Linked DNA regions of Bombyx mori. The protein of the gene in region 2 purifies or fractionates together with the protein of the main gene of each other region. This does not show direct contact. Links are inferred from orthologs where the notes say so. Each region holds a gene or a part of one and is shown on either strand. Other genes may lie near its edges.

The links.
Region 1: the proteins of epidermal growth factor receptor (region 2) and DRK purify together in Drosophila melanogaster (affinity purification with western blotting; 4 studies listed by BioGRID, with this or other methods). This does not show direct contact. The link is inferred for Bombyx mori from reciprocal best matches to the Drosophila melanogaster genes Egfr and drk.
Region 3: the proteins of epidermal growth factor receptor (region 2) and SHC-transforming protein 1 purify together in Drosophila melanogaster (affinity purification with western blotting; 3 studies listed by BioGRID). This does not show direct contact. The link is inferred for Bombyx mori from reciprocal best matches to the Drosophila melanogaster genes Egfr and Shc.

What each region holds. Positions count from the first base shown.
Region 1 is NC_085123.1:5,830,597-5,834,924, reverse strand, and holds the start of DRK (DRK protein), read left to right. Parts: upstream 1-1,439; coding exon 1,440-1,517; intron 1,518-1,595; coding exon 1,596-1,693; intron 1,694-3,076; coding exon 3,077-3,196; intron 3,197-4,328.
Region 2 is NC_085107.1:5,369,707-5,373,869, reverse strand, and holds the start of epidermal growth factor receptor, read left to right. Parts: upstream 1-1,278; 5' UTR 1,279-1,452; coding exon 1,453-1,582; intron 1,583-4,163. UniProt on the Drosophila melanogaster protein: Receptor tyrosine kinase, binding ligands of the EGF family and activating several signaling cascades to convert extracellular cues into appropriate cellular responses. Known ligands include spitz, gurken, vein and giant-lens.
Region 3 is NC_085111.1:5,633,706-5,637,362, reverse strand, and holds part of SHC-transforming protein 1, read left to right. Parts: coding exon 1-21; intron 22-1,640; coding exon 1,641-1,814; intron 1,815-3,657.

The DNA.
Region 1 (4,328 bases), on a different chromosome or scaffold from region 2:
TTTTATTATACATTTTTTTGGTTTTATGTATTTATTTGCTTTCAAATTAAGAAAGGAGAATTAGCAAAATTGTATTTTTGTAAGCAGATTTTTTATTATGAATTTTTCAAAATTAATTTTGCAGTTGTAAATAAAATTAAGTACATGCTATTGCCCTTATTTTTTTGGATAGCAATAAACTGTTTCTGTTTGGCAAAAATATGTTACAATTTACTGATTATAGTCCTCCATTTAAGTGGTAATTATTTCACGTATCGGAACTTTTGTATCATATTAAACTTGATGCCGGCTAGAAAGGCAAAGGCAGTTATTACTAGAATCCAATTGCTAGTTTGAACCTCATGTCATAATTTGGCATTCATGTTTTGATGTCTATGAGCTTCGGTAACCACATCAAACTAGGCGGGCTTTGATCTCGCTCACGCGTTCAAGCAAATAAATAGCAAAAATAAACACAACAGTAACGAAATGTAAAATAGTGATTATTTGTAAGATAATATCGATGAAGTTAAAGAATATTTCATCACAACCACAATATTTAAAAAAAATATGGTGCGTGTACAACTTGGTGCACGTGAAAAAAGGGAAACTTCTTTTGTGGTGTGTAGTATTGTGGTTTTCTTCATTTTTCATCTTTAAATCAAATTTCCCCATTAATAAGGAATGCTATATATAAGATAAACTATCTAGCTCACTTTGTCCTTTCCCTCTCTCCACGGTCGAGTGGTTCATGAGACGCTCTGTCTATTTTCTCACTCTCGGTCTTCCTTAATGAGAAATATGTATATGCTGAAAGTGAAAAAAAATTAGCCAAGTTACCATTCAGGCAATATCATTTTGTGGTCTTTAATGGCAAGTCGTCCTTCGTCCATAGTCGTCCTTCTAGTCTACATTCTGCTGAAAAGTTTAAATTTAGACCTAAGTTTTGATGGCAATTCGTCTCTTAAACTTAGTTGGGGCGTCTGAATCTAAATCTTTTAGTCAATTTCAATATTTTCATAATGAATTAGGTTTTTAAATTCATCTACATGTTTTACGAATCCTTATAGTAGACGATTCTTATAAGTGAGATCCAATTCAAATGTAGAATGAATTTGTTTTTAGTCTTTACAGGTAAAGTTGATGTTATGTTCCTTGCCAGTATCAAAAACACACATGAATGCAAGTAAATTTTCGAGCTAAAAACACAGCTGCAAAGTGGCAACATTTTGATTTTTTTGTCAATTTGTAAAGTGAGTGATGTGTTGAGTACAGACGGATTCCGATTGGGTTTTTCTAAATTTGTAACTAAAACGCATCTTTTTTATTCAACATTGTGAGACAATACGTGCATTATGATTATTTTACTTCCTTGACATTAGACATTTTGGAAAGTTTGTGTACTTTAAGAGTTATTTTTAAGAATTCGGTGACATTTCAGTGAAGTGCCTAATTTGATCATGGAGGCTCTAGCAAAACACGATTTTACTGCAACCGCAGATGATGAGCTCAGTTTTAGAAAAAATCAAGTATTAAAAGTAAGTTAAATATTTATTTAACTTTTTGTTTTGTTTAATACCTAGCGATAGTTCTTTCTAGAATGGTTCCTATTGCAGATTCTAAACATGGAGGACGATATGAACTGGTACAGAGCTGAATTAGACGGGAAAGAAGGGCTCATTCCTAGTAATTACATACAAATGAAAAATCACAGGTAAGTGGGATATCTAATATTTCTAGTCTTAAAATTATAACTGATACTTATAACGATTTTAAAATATTCTTAATTAAAATAACCAGTTTATTTTTGACTTAGGTTTTATTTGTGAAAGCAAGAAGATATTGCTCTTGTGTAGCTATGTAGAGATCTCAGATAAAATTTAGAAAAAGAATGTTTTCATTTCATTCCAAACATTTGCTGAAGAAAACTGATAATGTAAACATTGTTTGTTTATAATTAAACTTGGGCTGGTCTACTCATTTTTATTTACATTTAACTACTATGGTATCCGGAGAGTGTTGCCAAACCTAATCTACAAAGTCATTTCATTATTCTTTAGAAGAAGAACATACAAAATGAATGTTATTTATAGATACACAACAGAAATTTCATGTAACTTACCAGCTGCCACTAAACTAATCAACAAATGTTTGTTTACATTACCAATTGTAATAATAAAAGCCAAAGTGTCTTTAAACATATGAAGTGTATTTTGAAAGGAGAAAACAATATTTGATTTCAAAGTAAATTATAAATTTGGTGTATTTTTTATTACACAATTAAGAATTACGAAAAGTGCTTTTTTTATTTGAGTACTAAACTTTATTTCATGATTCTCAATGAGAAAAGATTTGAATAGATAGAAGGTAGTTATTAAACATATATTAAAGAGAATGGTCTCTTCAACTAGAATCTGATTATACATCAGAAATAAACCTGTTGATTTTGTAAGTGCTAATGCTTTGCCAAGCAATAAAATTAATGTGAAGGCTATGCCTGAAGTGATACAAATGCTCCTTTAATTCATAGTGTTGAGTAGTACTATAATATGAATGCAGAACATACTACCATGACCACCTAATTTGAGATGTGAGATGCAGTATCAATTGCATTGTGATAATAACTGTCCTAAGGTTCAAACCTAAAGGCACAATTGCTGCAAGACAAATATGGTATACAGAGACACACATACAGTGTATGCTTACAGCATACCTGACCACCAAAAACTACTATTAGTAATAATAGTAATAAAAATTCTAAATATTTGTAGAACATTTACTTATTTTTTGTTTATACCTTACTGGTGTATTGTGTGGTGTATATTGTATCAGCTAGACTGGAAGAGAAATCTAAGCACATCCAGTGCATCGACTTAATGAATTGGATGTCAGAATGAGGTCACAAACCACCTTGTGTCAAGTAGTTACAGGAGCTTATAGATATTACGGTGTAAATTCTCACTATCCACCAGTTTTAAGGATTAAAAACTGTCTTGGGACATATTAAAAAAAAACCATAATTTTTAAGTAATTATTAATTTGAAAATAGTAAGTATTTGTATTTTAAAGGTGTGCCTACATAACCTCTCTTTTTCAGTTGGTATTATGGGCGTATTACAAGAGCAGATGCAGAAAAACTCTTAGCAAACAAACCTGAAGGTGGCTTCTTGATAAGGATCAGCGAATCAAGCCCTGGCGACTTCTCCTTATCAGTCAAGTAAGTCCTTTGTATTTTTACATGTAATGTTTATTATTTTTCACAGTAATAATAATCATTATTTATTATTTCTCTTTTAAAGTTATAGTACAAATACAAATAGAGATTAACCTTACAATTTATTTTGTTAGCCTTTGAAAGAACTGCAGTCTGTACTAGGTTCAAAGACCTGTATTACTGATCTCCAGGCTCCCTGCTTCTTAGGATAGATTAGGCTAGGTTAAGTCATGAACAGATGTCGCAGACTAAGTGTTGAGAGATCATTAGGTGTTATCATTTAAGTAGATATCAGTAGTTATCATTCCAACAGAAGACCGTTCATTATTATTATTTAAATAAACAATTTTATCTGGATGGAATGTTTTCTGTATGTTTGCATGTAAATAACTTAGTGTTTCTCTAAATGTTTTATCAATAGAGTCTATTAGTAATAAAATAAAAAGCTCCCTTATGTAATACTTATAAAACTAATATTGTATGTATATAGTATATTACAGCTTATAACTAAGGGAAAATTGTCTTTGTCTTAACAGAAAAATACATTATAGCAATGCTATCTAAAAATATATATTGGAATCACAATAACATTTACATTTTAAGTTCAGGTGAATGACCAGCATTTGCATCCACGGGTCACTGCAGTATAAATAAAGTAAATGAAGAGTAAAAAGAACCATCTATAGTCTTATGCAATTTAACATTGAAAAACCATTATAAGATAAATGTATTTAGGACGTCAGAAAATGTAATGTGTAAATAAATACTTTGTAAATGTAGTTTTAACCATGTGTGCGAATTCTAAAACTGAGTGAATATTAAAACATTTTATCTATTCATGGAAGGTTGGTCATAAGATAGATAGAGAACTTGATAAATTCAGAATTTTTCTTATCTCAATAATAAGAAAAATACACCATCTGAAATACGTACAAATAAATACATTCCATCCTTATCAAATTTTCTAGAATGACTAAACTTTATTTCCTTCTACAGTCAACAATAAAGAAAAAAAACAAACTATGACAAATACAATACTACTCATTTTACTTGTAAAGCTGTAAAATTTACCTCATATTCATCATGTGAACTAGTTCTGTTGAGTTTCTGTAGGCTTCTGTAATCACTTAACACC
Region 2 (4,163 bases):
GAATTTTGTAGTGCATTGCCTTCTTCGTATAATATTACTAAAAATACTATACTATCTGATGAATGAGGTACATAAGTAGATATCAAAATTTTTAACAGAAAAAATGCATTCATGCATGCTTACAAGAAAAGGGCGAATTTTAGTCAAATTTTTAAAATTTTATTTAAACAAACAATTATAATAACAGTATTCAAACTGAACGTAGGAGTATGTATCTGATAATACTGCATTCTTTAATAATATATTTCAATTAGTTTATAAAAAATAACCTCCCGTATCGGTCTCCAATTCGAAGCGTGACCTATTTTCTTTTAAGTTAAAATTAATTGCAATATTTGTGCGTTTTGATTATTGACATCAAAAATGTTTTGATTTCAGTTCCTGACATAACACGAATTTATGTGAATCGATAAAATTCAATAGCATTTTTTCTTCGAAAGCATCAAGCATTAACCATAAAAACGAGTTTAATCTACCTTTATAATTTTATAGTCTCAAGCGTACGTTAAGAGTTACTTTTGTGTCCCATAACACATATTTACATAACTCGAAACACTTTAATTTATAGTTTGCAGTTGGACATGTGCCGTGCTGCTTCCAAACAAATTAGAATTAACTAATAACCTCTCCGTCCAAACAGCAATTTGATGAAGAAATTTGTTTCGTCTCAAGTGCTGGATAGCACATCCTAAAAATATAGTAAACAAATGCTTGGATAGGATTGCTTGGATAGGATAAATAAAAGGAGTACATAGTTGATTCCTGTTCGTAATTTACGGTTACCCAAGGTTACATTTGGATTCCCCAAGAGAACACTTTCGGTGCACTCGAGTTAAACAGTCCGGTTTATCAACACCAGCACGGGCCACAATGCGTAGTTATTAAGTTTTATTACGTGGTGGCTTTTTTTTTTAGTCCAACGCATACCTGAGTCTTTCTCGACGTTTACCTGTGCTTCGGAGAGGGAGTAAGGGACTGTAGAACTAGTGATGTTTAGAATCGGCAGTGCTGTTCCCTAACACACATTAAACACGCGTTATACCTGTTACAATTTATTTAGAGCTTGCATTAGTAAATGATTAAGTAATTTTGGTGTTTCTTTAAATAATGGCTTATTTTCGGTTTTAAATGAGTAGGTGCTGTTTTAGATCGGTGCGAGCTTTTGACCGTATCTTTATCAAAGATTTCGCTTTTAAATAGAAACATACGTAATTACTTTTTATCTCATCGTGCACGATCTTATCACGTCAAAGATATCCATTCAAGGATATGTACAAGAAAACCAAATTTCCCGCCCAAAGTGTCGATCATTGCGGTAACGAGTCTGAAAAGCGTTAGATCTGTGGGTGCGCCCGCGCAACGCAAGCCTCCAGAAACCGGCCGGGCCAGTACACGATGGAAGTTAGTGCCGGGCGCTCGTGTCTGAGGCAGCTTCGCGAGTGATGTCGCAGCATGGTCGCTGCTCGTGCCTTGTTGTGGTGCCTGTGCCTTGCCGCTTTCGGGACGGTGGACGCCGCCAAACACCGCAACCACCATCCCGTCAACTCAAGACATAAACATTCGGAATTCGTTAAAGGAAAAAGTAAGTGCCGCCCACGGATCCAGTGCGTGTATTATAAATTGTGAAAGAAAAAAAAAAAACAAAAAAAAACAAATGTAGTGTACGTTTGTAACGTGACCTCAATCGGTGGAACAAAGCTGTAAAATAGCGCCATAAACTTGTAGCAATAGACTTAGTACGGTCTAATCGCGGCAATAAAATAAACAAAGCTTATCTCGAGGCTACAGACGTAGCCTTATATAGTTCGGAAAGCTGGGTGTCGGTACAGTGAACTGAACGAGAGGCTGTGCGCAAGCATGGCCCGTCAACGCGAAACAATTAAATCACATCTTGCCTGTGACAATGTTCTCTCAGGGAGCGTCAAAAGGATGCGACTCGAACTCCTTTGAGACCAGTTTTAAATAGGCAAGGTGCGCTTTTGTTAAGCGTTCTGACTTCCACGCTTGTGCAGCTTTTATGTGCCATGCTAAGATCGTGTTAAATTTATTTTAAAACTTTAACAAATATACTTGTTATTGAACTTAAGCTTGATGATGGCATGGTAAGCCAACGTGATTTCTTAAAATATATTTTTTAAAGATCATTTGCTCACGAGAAATCCTATAATAAGCCTAATGAATGAAAATAAAGGTTTTCATCTGATAGAAGCTTGCATTAAAGCACAGCAAACAAAAGCTTTACTACGGTATATTTTAAGGTACGGTACGGTACGGTACGGATGTTTTTGTTGTTTACCTTAAGCAAAAAATTGTATAGATTTATAAGCGAGATATAATGCAATAACAAATTTACAGGGGGGGGGGATCGAACGCTAAATTTAAAACGCATATCTAATATACATTTGTTACAATAAACAAAAAAATACCAACAATAAAATGACAGCGTCTTCGTAGTTGTCAATCTATTAAAAAAATACTATCCAGACAGACAAGCATGTTCAGGACTACAAACATTTATGTAATTTCTCCAGTGAATACTATAGCATATGATCTACTTGTTAGCAAGCGGTCACCATCTCCGCGAACATCTACAATTAGTGACACAGCTAAACTACCCACTAAAAGTAATATGTGTAAAATTATATGTGTATAGTCAAATTTTCCTAAAAATAGTCTGCAGCTTACGTGAAAAGCAAAAAAAAAATTCAATAAATGTCGCCATAAAAATATTGGCGCCACAACACACACACACACACGCCCACTGTAGTATATATTTAAGGCGCGTAATAACCAAATTATTGACAATTCTCTAGCAACAAATACACGCAATAGAGTCCTGAGTATTGTTTTACCAATAAGATTAGCTCCATTTGTATTAGATAATTGAAGCCAAGGCAATAATAAAGGTGTTTTTCTCAACATATCGCATACGCGGGTAATCAAACATAAATAATGTTTGTTAGCTAATTAATTATTTTAAACGATCTCTGACATCTTGTATGTGATAAACAAATTTAATTGAATTCTCTGATAATTTACATACAAATACGATACCTTTATCACATACATAATATCAATTGAAAATCTTGGTAATGAGTTGTGACCTCTGCCGTTTCTTGGTGTAGATATAATAATAAATTATAAATAAAGCATAAATCTCACTTAGTTATTTGTATGAAGAGGGTAAGTGAGGATAACTCGGAATGTCGCACAGATATGGACTTTATGTCAAGGTAGGAAGTCATATATTTTTTCACTTTTATTATTTATTCCAAAGTCTGCTCTGGTCCCGTATTGTAACAAAGCAGTATCATTATTGCCGTAAATCTTAAGCAGCAGTAACTATGAAATCTACAATCACTCAAATCAGTTAGTCTGAGTTGTGAAGGACTGAAACTTACAATGGAGCTTTATATTATTGCCAAAAATAAAGCACGTTTTATTTAGCTGCTCTGAAAAAAAAAACACCAAACATTATTTTTATAACCGCGACTCAATGGCCTATTGTTTTATTATAGTCATTGGTTTGAGTTTAGCGAAAACTTCGTTGTATTTTTTATTTTATTTTATTGGTACAACATTTTTTTATTGGCAGGCTTGAGAAAGCATTGGCACGCTTAAACTGTTTTGAACTACATTGTTGTACATATAGTGTCGATAATTCATTAGACAGGTAAATATCGTCATTCGTAATTGGAATTTGTAATTTCATCAAAAGAAAAGTCAAACGACAAGCAATTGCCTACTTTTGCTTTGGAATGCTGATGAATCGTTAGAATCGAATGTTTTGAACAATTTGTGACGCATCAATGGCAAAATAACGGTATCTTGATAGTTATTTCAATGATTATGTTCTTTTAAAAAAATTTAGAAATGTTATATTCGAATTCATTAACATTTCTTAGTTCATAAAACTTCGTTCTAAATTCCACACTTAAATTATTTTAATATTAGATTTTTGTGTGGGAAAATGATGACCTTCGTTTATATAGTTTGTAATTTAATACGTTCGTATAAAATTAATCGAAGTATTAGTTTTAAAAATTTTTTGCATGGGTGCCACCAGTGTTAAGTGATTCGTGAAAACCATAGTGGATTAGTTCCCGATAGCTTTATTAATTTTGTACATCTAAAATCAAGATGATCTTCGCTATCGAAATGAT
Region 3 (3,657 bases), on a different chromosome or scaffold from region 2:
ATTTTTAACGAAACCCTCGACGTAAGTTGAATATTTTTTTAATTTTAATATGCGACTAATGTGGGTCATCCGTTCATTCAATGTAAATTACTTAAATTAACAAGCAATGTGAAATGTAAATGTAAAAGAAAATGTCAAAGCTCAAATGCATTGTTAGAGAATTTTAAAATGTAAAAATATCAGTACAAAGATATTCTGCGAAAGCCCAATTACGTATACTGGACCATATAAAGCCAAAGCTCCATGTGTAATGAGTCATAATTTGAAAGTTTTCCTCATATGAAGTCATCATTCCTAATATACCAATTTGTGTCACATAGTCTGTCTGACCCGCTTGAATTATAGCAAAGGTATTGTGATCATGAATGATTACAAATGATTGCTTTATCATAATGTTATTCATTTTAGAACTAAATAGACCTAATGACCCGTGAATAAGCTATTGGATAATCTATTAATGTGGATACTATATTATTTTCGTGAGGGATTTCCAAGGGAGATGAAAGTATTAATAATGCAAATGGTTTCTATATTAGCTATGAAATGACGTAATTCGTGCTAACTGTACCATGTGAAACGAGAAATAAATTATCTAAACTAATGTTGCTTCTAAATAAATTAAAATAAAATATAGTTTATCATCATTAGATAACCTTGAACCATTTGTATTATCAACGCAAACTTATGTCCGTAAGCATTCATTGAATTCGATGAGTAACAATCATGCAGTATCCTTAGGTATTTATGAATCACTCATTCAGAACTTGTTAGGAAACGTATTATGACCTGCAAGAATTCTGTGTGTATTATGTGTAAATGCGAACTGTGGGCACTGAATTTGCGGAAGACTAGTCACAATCGACCAGCAACACTATTGATAGCAGGGTGTTTCATTCGCCTGCAGGGTATGCTAACATCGCTCGTCTAGCTATCTCTGCTTAGAAACCACCTTGCGTTCCCGCTTAAGTTGGGGCTTGAGTATTACTATAAGCCAATAGACGTTTTAGTGGTAGATGTCATCATCCTGCTTATTTCTGTCGCGAATCGGTAATTCGCTCCGGTTCTAAGGGTGGAGCAGTTGTTGACTTTAAAGTTGAAACTTAAAGTCGTTTCCAATGTAACTGGTTAACACTAGTGAAGGCTGCGAAGTGCTGCCACCTGTTTACTTCGAATCGGTTCGCATTATTCTTTTTCGATAAATACATCACTACACATACCGAAACACATACAATTTTTTTTTATTACCCTTGTAGGCAGACGAGCATACGGCCCACCTGATGGTGAGTGGTTACCGTCGCCCATGGACTTCAGCAATACCAGGGACAGAGCCAAGCCGCTGCCTACCGCTTAATATTCTCCACAAGCCTCGTTTGAAGAAGGACATGTCATAGCGCTCGGGAAACACCGTGGAGGGGAGCTCATTCCATAGCCGGATGGTACGTGGCAAAAAGACCTTTGGAAACGCACTGTGGATGACCGCAGTGGCTCCAGGTAGTATAAAATAATAATTCGCGACACCATCACTGACCTTGAAACAGTAGGCCAAGAGGACTGTCCGAGTTTCAGATAGTGAGACCTATTAAAAGATCATCCCCCTAGTTACGCACCATAAATATATCGTATTGTAATGTTTCCAACAGATTAAATCTCAATGGATCTCTGCCCAGCTGCGAAAGCGCTTGTGGGCTAGTGGAGGACAGAGAGTATTACAACGACATGCCGGACAAGGTGCCGCCCGAGCTGGCGCCGACTTCGCACCGCCACCCCCCGCCCCCGCCCCTCGCCTCGCTGACGTCACTCGCACCGCTCTCCTCGTACGTAAAAGATCAATTAAAAACATCGAACTGTTAATACCAAATAAAACGCACCTTTAATAATATTACAAAGTTAAATTTCGCGTATTAAGCGAAATGTCACTTAAGCCCTTCAACCCTCGATATATATTTTGATACACACGATCCGTATGTTTTTATGTGAATTCTAAGCTATTATTTAGTGCTCAGATTTTGGAAAACGATGCAATCAGAAGTTATAATAAACTACTCATATTTAATCTGAATACATTTTGACCTATAATACCCTGAGTTGGCCTGGCCTCTAATGCTAAGTTACATAGGCGGCACTGAAAATTTCGGGAATTCACGAAGTGATACAACATTACTATTTAAAAATGTATTTATTGCTTTTCGAAGTATTCTCCGCGAAATTTGACACATTTTTCCATACGATGGAACCAATCATTGAAGCAACCATTCCATTCGGAAGTTGGGGTCTCCAAAATGTCCGTTTTGTAGGCGTCCACATCTTCTTCAAGTGATGAAAATCTCTGTCCACGCAATTTATTCTTTATTTTAGGGAAAGTATAGAAATCATTAGGGCTTAGGTCGGGGCTGTACGGCGGACGCTCTAATAATTCTATGTTTTCTTGCTCTAAAAACTCTTTTGTTCTGTGCGCGGTGTGAGAACTCGCATTGTCGTGATGGAGGATGATGCGGCGGTTGCAGTTCTCTTTACGGAGTTCAGAAACGACCTGTGGCAAACAAATGCTAGCATACCATTCTGCATTAACCGTTCTTTGTCCCTCAAGAGTAATAGTCGTAACATGGCCGGTTTTGAAGACAAACGTGGCCACCATTTTTTTTGCAACACTCCGTGAACGAACAATTTTTGTTGGCTTTAACTCATTTTCGAACACCCAAACTCGTGACTGGTTTTTTGTTTCGGGTTCGTACGCGTATATCCAGGATTCGTCACCTGATACAATGTTGTATACAGCATTTGAGGATCCTGCATGGAATCTTTCGAGAGTTCTGACGCACCAAGTAACGCGAGCCGCTTTTTGCTCTTCACAGAGCGAATGCGGTATCCATCGGGAAAACAACTTTTTTACACCTAATTGTTCATGCAAGATTATTAGTATTTGACTCATGCCAATGTCTAAAGTTGCCTGAATTTCGCGGTATGTCACATGTCGATCTTCCTCAATCAGCTTACGCACAGCATCAACGTTTTCTTGGGTGACTGCAGTTTTTGGACGACCTTGACGGGGATCATCACTGAGCTTGATACGTCCACGTTGAAACTCAGCAAACCAGCGATAAATTGTGGTTTTGGATGGGGCTTCATCATCAAATGCAGAAATCATCCGGTCAACACACTGTTTTTGTGTTAAATCACTTCAAAGTCATAATAAATCATCGCTCTTGAATTTTCTCGAGTCAATTCCATTTTCTCAACGACTAAACAAGTTTGACAAAACCTCGTGACAAGACCGAGAATCTTTTTTTAAAGAAATAAATGGGATTCGATTTTTAAAACCAAGGAGATTTCGATTAAAAAAATTTTAATATGACAGGAACAGTGGAAATATTCCATTCCCGATACTTTTAGTGCAGCCCTCGTATAATGATAGTGAATAGAGAAGAATTTAATTCGACACGCCACCTAATCGATATATTTTAATTTGAACGTTACAATTCAGTTACAATTCAATTAGGACTTGAAGCTCGTGGTGTATAATGGATGGCAACATTATTGATGTGTCGTATGGTAGCGCTGTATATAGCTTGGTTTTTTTTTTTCGAAGTCCAGTGAGATCTCAGTTACGGGTTACCATTTCAGTGAAAAGTCACTTCATTCCAACTAATTTTACTTCTA